2 linked regions of the Canis lupus familiaris genome follow. The protein of the gene in region 2 interacts with the protein of the main gene of each other region in a biochemical or structural test. Links are inferred from orthologs where the notes say so. Each region holds a gene or a part of one and is shown on either strand. Other genes may lie near its edges.

The links.
Region 1: the proteins of AKAP1 (region 2) and MYCBP form a complex in vitro, tested with the Homo sapiens proteins (2 studies listed by BioGRID). The link is inferred for Canis lupus familiaris from reciprocal best matches to the Homo sapiens genes AKAP1 and MYCBP.

The regions. Positions count from the first base shown.
Region 1 is NC_049236.1:3,935,900-3,940,313, reverse strand, and holds the start of MYCBP (C-Myc-binding protein), read right to left. Parts: upstream 3,098-4,414; 5' UTR 3,056-3,097; coding exon 3,041-3,055; intron 2,841-3,040; coding exon 2,768-2,840; intron 1-2,767. Other genes in the region: GJA9 (gap junction alpha-9 protein), read right to left, coding at 4,309-4,414. UniProt on the Homo sapiens protein: May control the transcriptional activity of MYC. Stimulates the activation of E box-dependent transcription by MYC.
Region 2 is NC_049230.1:31,854,249-31,858,054, reverse strand, and holds part of AKAP1 (A-kinase anchor protein 1, mitochondrial), read right to left. Parts: intron 2,378-3,806; coding exon 2,244-2,377; intron 628-2,243; coding exon 501-627; intron 198-500; coding exon of another isoform or gene 94-197; exon of another isoform or gene 61-93; intron 1-60.

The sequences.
Region 1 (4,414 bases), on a different chromosome or scaffold from region 2:
TGCGCTAGCGTGATGGAGGGGTGAAAACAAAGTAGATTAATTTGAGAAAAATTTTGGAGAATCAACAGGGCTTATGGTAATTACTGGAAGAAGCTTTGAATTCAAAGTGTGCTTCAAGAATAGTTTCATATACAATATGCTAAATAACCACCAACCAAAAACTTTACCAGTAATCGACATGCTCAGATCAACATTAAAATAGATGTTTTAGTTTGTACCCAAAAGCTTATGTCAGCACTACCTTTCTCATCTTCTATTGAACAAATTCCTCCTAGGATTTACTACTCAGACAAAAATCTCTCTAAACCAGTGGTTAAATTTTTTGTGCATGGAACCCTTTGAAAAATGACAAAAGCCAAAAATTTAACTACACACACAAAAAAATGTGCATCTCTAGACTCCAAGAACTGCTGTAAAACTTACACGTTTCCTTTTTTATTTTTTTAGTTTTAATAATTCATCAAAATAATACACAGTATGAAAAAGTCAAATGACAATCAATGACTTTTAACAACCTGGACTGAGTTCTGATAGTTACTCTTCTAAATGTATTACAACCTGGTTTTTTAAGAATCTGGTATGTTTACATCACCAGCCCCCTCTCCCTTCAATATGTTTTTCTTTAAATTACATACTCAAGCCTGTTTCTTCTTCCACTAATTTCTACTAATCTCTGCCAACTAACTCTATAAGACATGAATAACTCTAAGCCTTTCTACCTCTTCCGCACCCCATTTCTTTCAGCTTCTAAATTTCTGTCAGTGCTACCATGAGGTTGATAGTTACAGAACACAATGTAAATGTCAAGCTTCCTGTGCTTTTCTATAGATGAAATATACTTCCTTTTAATCAGACAAGAACTTGATAGCTGGTGTTTCCCTTTTTGCCTTAGAGGTGGGATTTTTTAGAGGTTAGTATGGTACTCAACTCAAATGCCTTTTTCCAAATGACTTCTCTTTATCTTTAGCCATCCTTATAGTGTTTTAATGTTAGAAGCAGTTTCAGATCCTCTTAGAAATAAGCTTTATTAAAATCATAAATTAAATTTGTGGAAAGTACCCACGTTTGGAGCTGAAAAATCAAATTTTAAATAGGTCACATCAGTAGACACTATGTTATCTGATATTGAGGAGACTGGAAGTCTACAGAGGTGGAGGAGTTAGATGCCAATAGATGTGACCAAGAGAAAAGAAGCCTTCAGTGGTTTCCAATCTCATGAGGGAAGATCCATGTATGGCCACAAGGCTGTTACCCCCTGCCAAGGTCACTTCTCTGCCTTCTAACTTTCTGTCTTTAATTTCATGCAGTCACCCTGGCCTCCTTGCACTTCCTGGAACTCTTGACATCACATTTCATTCAGATCTCTGCTCAAATGTTACTTAAAAGAAACCTTCCCCCACCACCTCTTGCTCTTTATCCCCCTTTGCTGTATTTTCATTCATAACAATTCCCACTGGCTGGCACTACTTATTTATCTGTCTCCACCAACTAGAAGAAGCTTATTTGGAGCAGGGTCTTTCTTTTTTCTTTCCCCACTGATGTATCCCCAGTGCCTAGAACAGAGACCTGAATAAAACGGTTTAATAAATGAAAGAAAAGAACTCATGGAGTTTTTTTAAGGTTGGGGGTTGGGGGGTCGGTATTGAAATTCCAAGTTTCTGTGACATTTCAAGAGAGGACAGAGCACAGCACTTTCATAGAGTACTCCTGTAATGTTTGCTGAAATTTAATTGTATTAATTTAATTGTATTTAATTTAATTGCAGATAGAAGGAAACTAGTACCCAAACCTAAGGTAGGTAGCAATTCAAAATTATCAGCCCAGGTATGGGAATTAAAAGCCCTGCTTTGTGCTAAGGTCCAGTTGTTACTCTCCCAGAATTTTCTCCTAATAGGCTTTGCTTCTGGCCAAAGAGCAGTTACCAAATCATCTCCCAGACGCTTCTCGTGTGGACCCAGTCATCATCCTGGACAGCTTTTCTGTTCTATACCCTTGAAAGTTCTAGCCAGTGAGTTGAACGATACATAGCAGGCATTCACATTATTGCTGAGCTAATAAGCAGTAGCCCAACTGTCTCCTGGAACGCTGCAGTTTCAAGCTCCTTCCTCATCTCAGGTCTCGAACACACGCACACACAGACACCCCCCCCCTCCCCAGAAAGAGATACAGTGTCACAGCTTCCATCTTAAGTGTAAACAATATAACCATTTTCATGTGCCCTCAAGCTCTTTAAACTCTAATTCTACTTCGGAAATCTGCACAGGGCAGGAACTGGCATCGCCTACGAAAGCGGGGCTGTAAAACCACAGTCAAACTGATTCTTAATCGCCTATTTGGGGGATTCGGTTCACTTGGTTATTTTTATCCGCCAACTTTGGAAATCCGGTCATTTTCCCCCTTGCCCTTTGTCCGGGGGGAAACATGCTGCTTTACCTAATTTTGACTCCGCAAAAAGTGTCAGGAGGGAGGGATTGGGATCTCAGGGTCTTTAGCAAACATGCCTTCTGCGGCCGCTGGAGGCAAAGCAACGGAAGTTGGAGGGACTTTGCAACAGCTGCAAGAGTTCCACTCCCCGCCCGGAGAGCGCGGCAGCCCGGCGCGGGCGGCGTCCCCGCCGAGCCCCGGGCCCACCTGGCAGGGCCCACCTGGCAGGCCCCACCTGCTGCCCCTCCCGCCCCCGCCCCCGCCCCGCGCCTCGGCCCGGCAGGGGCGCAGCGCCGAGGAGCACGACGTGGACACGAGGAGCCCCCTCCCGGCGCATGCTCACCCTTGGTCAGCGTGTCCAGCACCCCCGACTTCTCCAAGTACCTCCGGAACTGCTCGCGCTTCGAGTCGGCGGCCTGAGGAGACACGGCGGGTCAGCGGCCGAAGCGCAGGGGCCGGAGCAGGAAGAAGGCGCTGGGAGTCCGGCAGCCCCGCCTCCGCCTCCGCCTCGCTACTCGGGCCCCCCAAACCTGCGCGCGCGCCCCCACGCCCTCCCGGAGCCGACCAGCGGCTGGCTCCCGCCCGCACGCCCCCAGCCACGCCGCGCCCCCCTCACTTTGTAATGGGCCATAGTGACAGCGGCAGCGGCGTAGCTGGCGCCCGAGACCGTGGCTGGCGGGCTCCGAGCCGCACTGCTCATGCGCCGCAGGGCGCGCGCGCCTGCGCACTTGCGAACCGCGGTCGGCGAGCGCGGGGGCGTGGCCTGTTTTCATGACGACGGGGACGCTGCGAGGGCCCCGCGGCAGGCCGGGCCGAGGGAGGCTGCGCGCGCCTGCCTCCTGCTCCCGGGGCCGCGCCTCGCCTTCCTCTTCCGGTCCCTGCGGCGGTTCGGTTGCTCAGCGAGAGGCGAGGTCGAGGGGACTCGGGACGGGCGTCCAGGTGGGGCCGGAGGGGGCGGGGCGCCCGGGGGCGGGGCCTGCGGGGGCCGGAGCGCGGCGGGATGCGCGGGCGCGGGGCTGGGCGCACCTGCCTCCCCCGGGACCTCGGTAGCGGCGCTAGCCCACCTGGACGCGCCGGCTTCCTGGCGCTCCTCCCGGAAAGGGGCGCGCGACCCGCCGCCGGTCGACCGAGCGCTTGGAATCGTTATGTTTCAGCTCCAGCTGTTTACTTTCAGAGTTTGTTTTGTGGCCGGCGTGATTGAGAAGGGCCCCTGGAGGGTGAGCAGTGACGTCGTACTGGGTGCCGGTGTTAAACAGGTTTCTTCTTTTCATTCTCCTGCAAGGTAGGCGCTGGTGAGTGAAGTGGTTAGAGGAACCAGGGAGTGTGGAGCTACGCCCGCCAACCTGGGCAATGAATCACGATGCTCTGAAGCCACCGATCTTTTTTAAGATTTTATTTACTAGATAGCAACGTCATCGTTACACTCAAGAGGCAGCAAGTTGCAGTCTATAAGGAAACTAAATTAAGTCCCATTGACAAACAATTTAACCATCGTCCAGAAACAAAAGATTCGCAACCAAAAGGGAGGATGATGTAGATCCAGAACCATCTCCCAAGGTTCCTTCAGGGAAAAACTTCCTTCAAGGAAAAACCTGGTTCCAAACCGTGAAGCCTCAGTTCTGAATTTGTGACTTGGCAAGAATCAGTTTTCATGGATTCTGAAGGGAGCCTGTAAAGCAGTAACCCCGAGTTGGTAACTATGGCTTTGAATTTAAAACTGCCCCTTCGCCATTCAGAATGGATGCGTGTGTTTTTCTTTTTGAGATGGGTTTGCAATGGTCTGTCGGAACAGCTGGTCTTTAGAGCTGCCCTTACCTGTGCTCCACCACCACTAGGCTACCTCTGTGATAACAATATGCAGAAAGTCTAGGAGCCCACAGCTGCTCAGATCTGAAGGTCTGTGGGAGCCCGCCTGCCAGTGAGGTGGTTTGTCAGCAACACTAAATGATTTGGAGGACAAGCAGTAGGATTATTGCAGCCTCTGACCAAA
Region 2 (3,806 bases):
GCTTTCCTAGAGTTCAAAGGTATCTTTACAGAGCCAAAAAGCTGTTTTGCCTTAAGAAAGGTTATCTAAAGAGGACTGAAATCCACCGACCTATCAAGTGATACCACTGCTGTTGTGTCCATGCTTTGAATGCAATAGGAGGCTAGCTGATGGGAAAGGTCCAGCCCTCACCAACCGGAGGGGAATCATGTTCTGCTCTGTGAAGGAATTGTGTGAGGCAGCGGGCACCATAAATCCAGGCCACCCCAGCCTGCCCATGTGAGTGCCCACACCTCTCCTGGCCACAAGATCTGGGGGAGGGAGAGGAGGCTCCTTCAAGTAGCTGAACTGGAGAGGAGGGCTAAAGGAAGACCCCCCACCATCACCACCATGTTCCCTTCACCTGGGATGAGCAGGGGTTTCTATTCAAAGACTTAGATTCCAAAAAGGGAATAACTGAGATTCAAATGCCTTACATTTCAGGGAAGACAACAAAACCCAAGCGGACAGCTGCCACTGACCTTCTATGTGGCAGATCTGGATGTTCTGGGTGTAAGGCAGGGTGGAGATGTAGATCTTGGCACCAGACGTTTGCTTCAGAAAGCTCACATACCGCCCCTGCTTGCCAATTAGCCGACCAACTAAGTGCTGAAAGAGAAAGAGACGATTGGGGTGTTAATAGGAAACCAATTCCCTACGTTCCCAAAGACTTACCTTTGTTTTACACAAAGTGAAGCTCAAATATATCATTAACTGTGAACATATCAGCACTCATTTGCCAGGCACTGTTCCGAGCACTTAGCTATGACAGATACCTTTATCACCATTTTACAGATGAGGTTAACAAGCTCAAAGAGGCTAAGTAACTCACCCAATATCACACTGCTAAATGGCTGAACTACACAGTCTGGCTGGCTCCAGGACTCAGCAGTTCCCATTTCTTCCCCGACAACGGGGCCCACATCCAGAAGGCTGCAAAGCCAGCATCTTCTCCTCCCAAATCTACACTAGGAGAGGTTCCACCACAGCACAAGGGTCGATTTACGACTCCTCCGACCTCTTCAAGTCTATCCGGGTTCAAAGATAAAAAGGCTCCATTTGAAAATAAAAGTTGAAGAAAGAACCCTTGGGCTTCTGCTGCCAATTGATAGCGGGCCGGAGCCTTCAGAGCACGAGGCTTGTAGAAGTGCCCAGCGTGCCAAGAGCTCAAGGCAGACAGAAGAAGCCCAACTTAGCCATGATGTAAGGCGAGCTCTGAGACAATCCCACACAACCGTACACCAGCAGAGCTACCAGGGACATGGTCGCCCTGTACCTAGAGATGTCTGGGTGTGCCCTTTGCAACCACTAAGGGAGGAGGAGGCACAACTGCTATCAGGGTCACAGGGCAAGGGGGGAACCACCAAGGGAGTCAGCACCCTGGGGTCAAAGCAGCCTGCCTGACCTAGAGTTCAAACCAAGCCAAGTCTCCATGGCGGCGGTAGGGAGCTAAGTTCCTGGGAGAATTCAGTTGGCCAATTATTTCTGAGCCCCCGTGATAAACATCAAGATCGAGCTAATAAATTTTAAGTTAGAATAGCAAGAAGCTCGAAAACACTTTGGTACCCTGGATTTGGGGACTGGTGAAGTAAACTGACATTCCTACAATGAATAATGCAGTTAAAATTATATTTTCAAAAGAATAACGCAGGAAAATTAAATTGTTAAATATTTAAAAGCATTAATTAAAGCAACATAATCTCAGTTTTGTTTAAAAACCACAGGGTGCAAGACGAGAAGGAAACACAAGTCTTCACAGCCACTCCCGGGGGTAAGATTAGAGCAGCTTGTTATTTTCCTCATATGTTTCTATACTTTTCAAGCTCTCTGAAATATGGATTTATGCTGTGCTCAATTATCAAATATACTTTGCACTGGAGAGCTTTGAGCAGAGCACCGTGAAGGGACTCCCGCCTAGCTCACGTCCTCAGGCTGGTTTTTGCTAGCATCTCCAAACAGATCTGAGCCCCAGCACACAGGAGGAAGCCCCAGGGAGAGCGTAAGTAGCCTGTGTGTGAGTTTGAAGGAGACGAGAACAGGTCCCTCCTGAAGGCAGCTGAGGGAACTCCACTTGGCAGGAAGCTCTGTGGGCCCTGGCAGGGTGTGACACTCCTGCTCCCTTCAGCCTCTGGCTCACTCGGGGGGCAGCTTCAGGTTTACTGTCTCCCTCTCCCTTAAGTTCGATGACCCTGGGCCTGTAGGAGTGTGGAGCTTGCAGCCCTTACCTTTGGCACTTCAATCTCCCAGATGATGAGGTCGACCTTCTTAGGACTAGAGGCTGCTTGGGCATTCTGGAAACTGTCAGTCTTCCTGGGGCCACAGCAGCCATCCACTGAATCCATGCTGTTCCCGTCCGAGCCTGCAGGGGTGGAAGCAGCATGCACAGACACACAGAGGCCAGCTAAGAGCAGTCAACAATGAAGAACTTCCAAACTCACATTCCCAGGAGGCCCCCGCCCCACACCCCCTCCTCAAGCTTGGCAGGTGACTGTCAACCCGAAGTCTAGAAGGGTTAGAACAACCCCAATGAAAGGAGGACTGGGGGTGTAGATACACCTAATTTTAGCCTGTCACTCACAGCTCCACTTGCTGAATTGGCAGCCACGCCCAGCCACAGCTGCTGGAGCAGAGACAAGTGGTGAGCTGGGAAGGGGAGTCCACGGGGTGGGGGAGCAGGCCAGCAAGACCACATGGTCCCAGAAGCTGTATATGTGCTGGCTTCCACAAAGACCAACCAGTCACAAGGGGTCCACACCCCAGCACCTATGCCAGCCCCTCAGACCAAGGGACCTAGGCCTGGGCTCCATGGGCAGTGAACTTCAGTCCAGCAGAGCTAGAAGAATCCTCCCTTGCTGGCTCATCTGAGGGCCCCATTCTCATCTTGCCCTGGGGCTCTACTGGAAGTAGATGAAGGAAGGAGGTCCTCCTTTCCCTCTGCTTAGGCCTGACTTGTGCAACTCTTAACATTCTGGGCTCATGGTGGATCTTTACCCCTTGGTCCCAAGACTGGGCTGAAGTTCATGCCCCAGACAACAGACAGAGCAGGAAGCAGGCCCCTGGCATCAATGTGGTCTGCTGCTCTCTTGCTCAAGAGTGTGCCAGAGAGGCTATCCCAGAAAAACAGGGGTCCAGACCAGCTTAAGAGAAAGGCCTCTGGCTTAAATATGGAGGACTTAACTACCAGAAATAGATCGCTCCCAAGATTCTACTACTTAGGTTATTATACACATGGTTTCTCCAAACTCTGGACATAATCCTTTGCCAAGCAACGCATGTACTGTCTGGATGCACAGTAAGGCTTAAGAGATTCTGCCCCCAGATAAGGACAAGTCACCTTGAGAGTGACCTTGTCCCTCAACACCAGGGGCCCCAGCCTCTCCTGGATAGAATAGGCCTGGCTGATACAGGCCACTCCAGGGACACCCAGAGGTGGCTCAGACCACACAGCACTCTAGCAGTCTGTGCTCACAGGCCAGCTTCCTCAGTGGGGCCCCTAGGCACCAGGTAGGGCTGTGCATGGTCAGGTACATCAGATGCCAGGGAGGTGGGAGCTTATGCTTTGCCCAACTGAGGGCCAAGTGAGTGGTATGCCACGCTCCCATCTCTTGTTCCTGTACCTCCCCACGGTCATAGCCCTCTCTTCCACGAGGCCTCAACTGAAGGCCTTCACCACACCTGAGTAGCTGCCACAACCAATCTAGAGGTGGCATGACACAGCTGTAATGGGTCTGTTAATTCAGCTTAGGGCCAGTGGATAAAGAGAAACTCCATTATTCTTAGGAAAATAT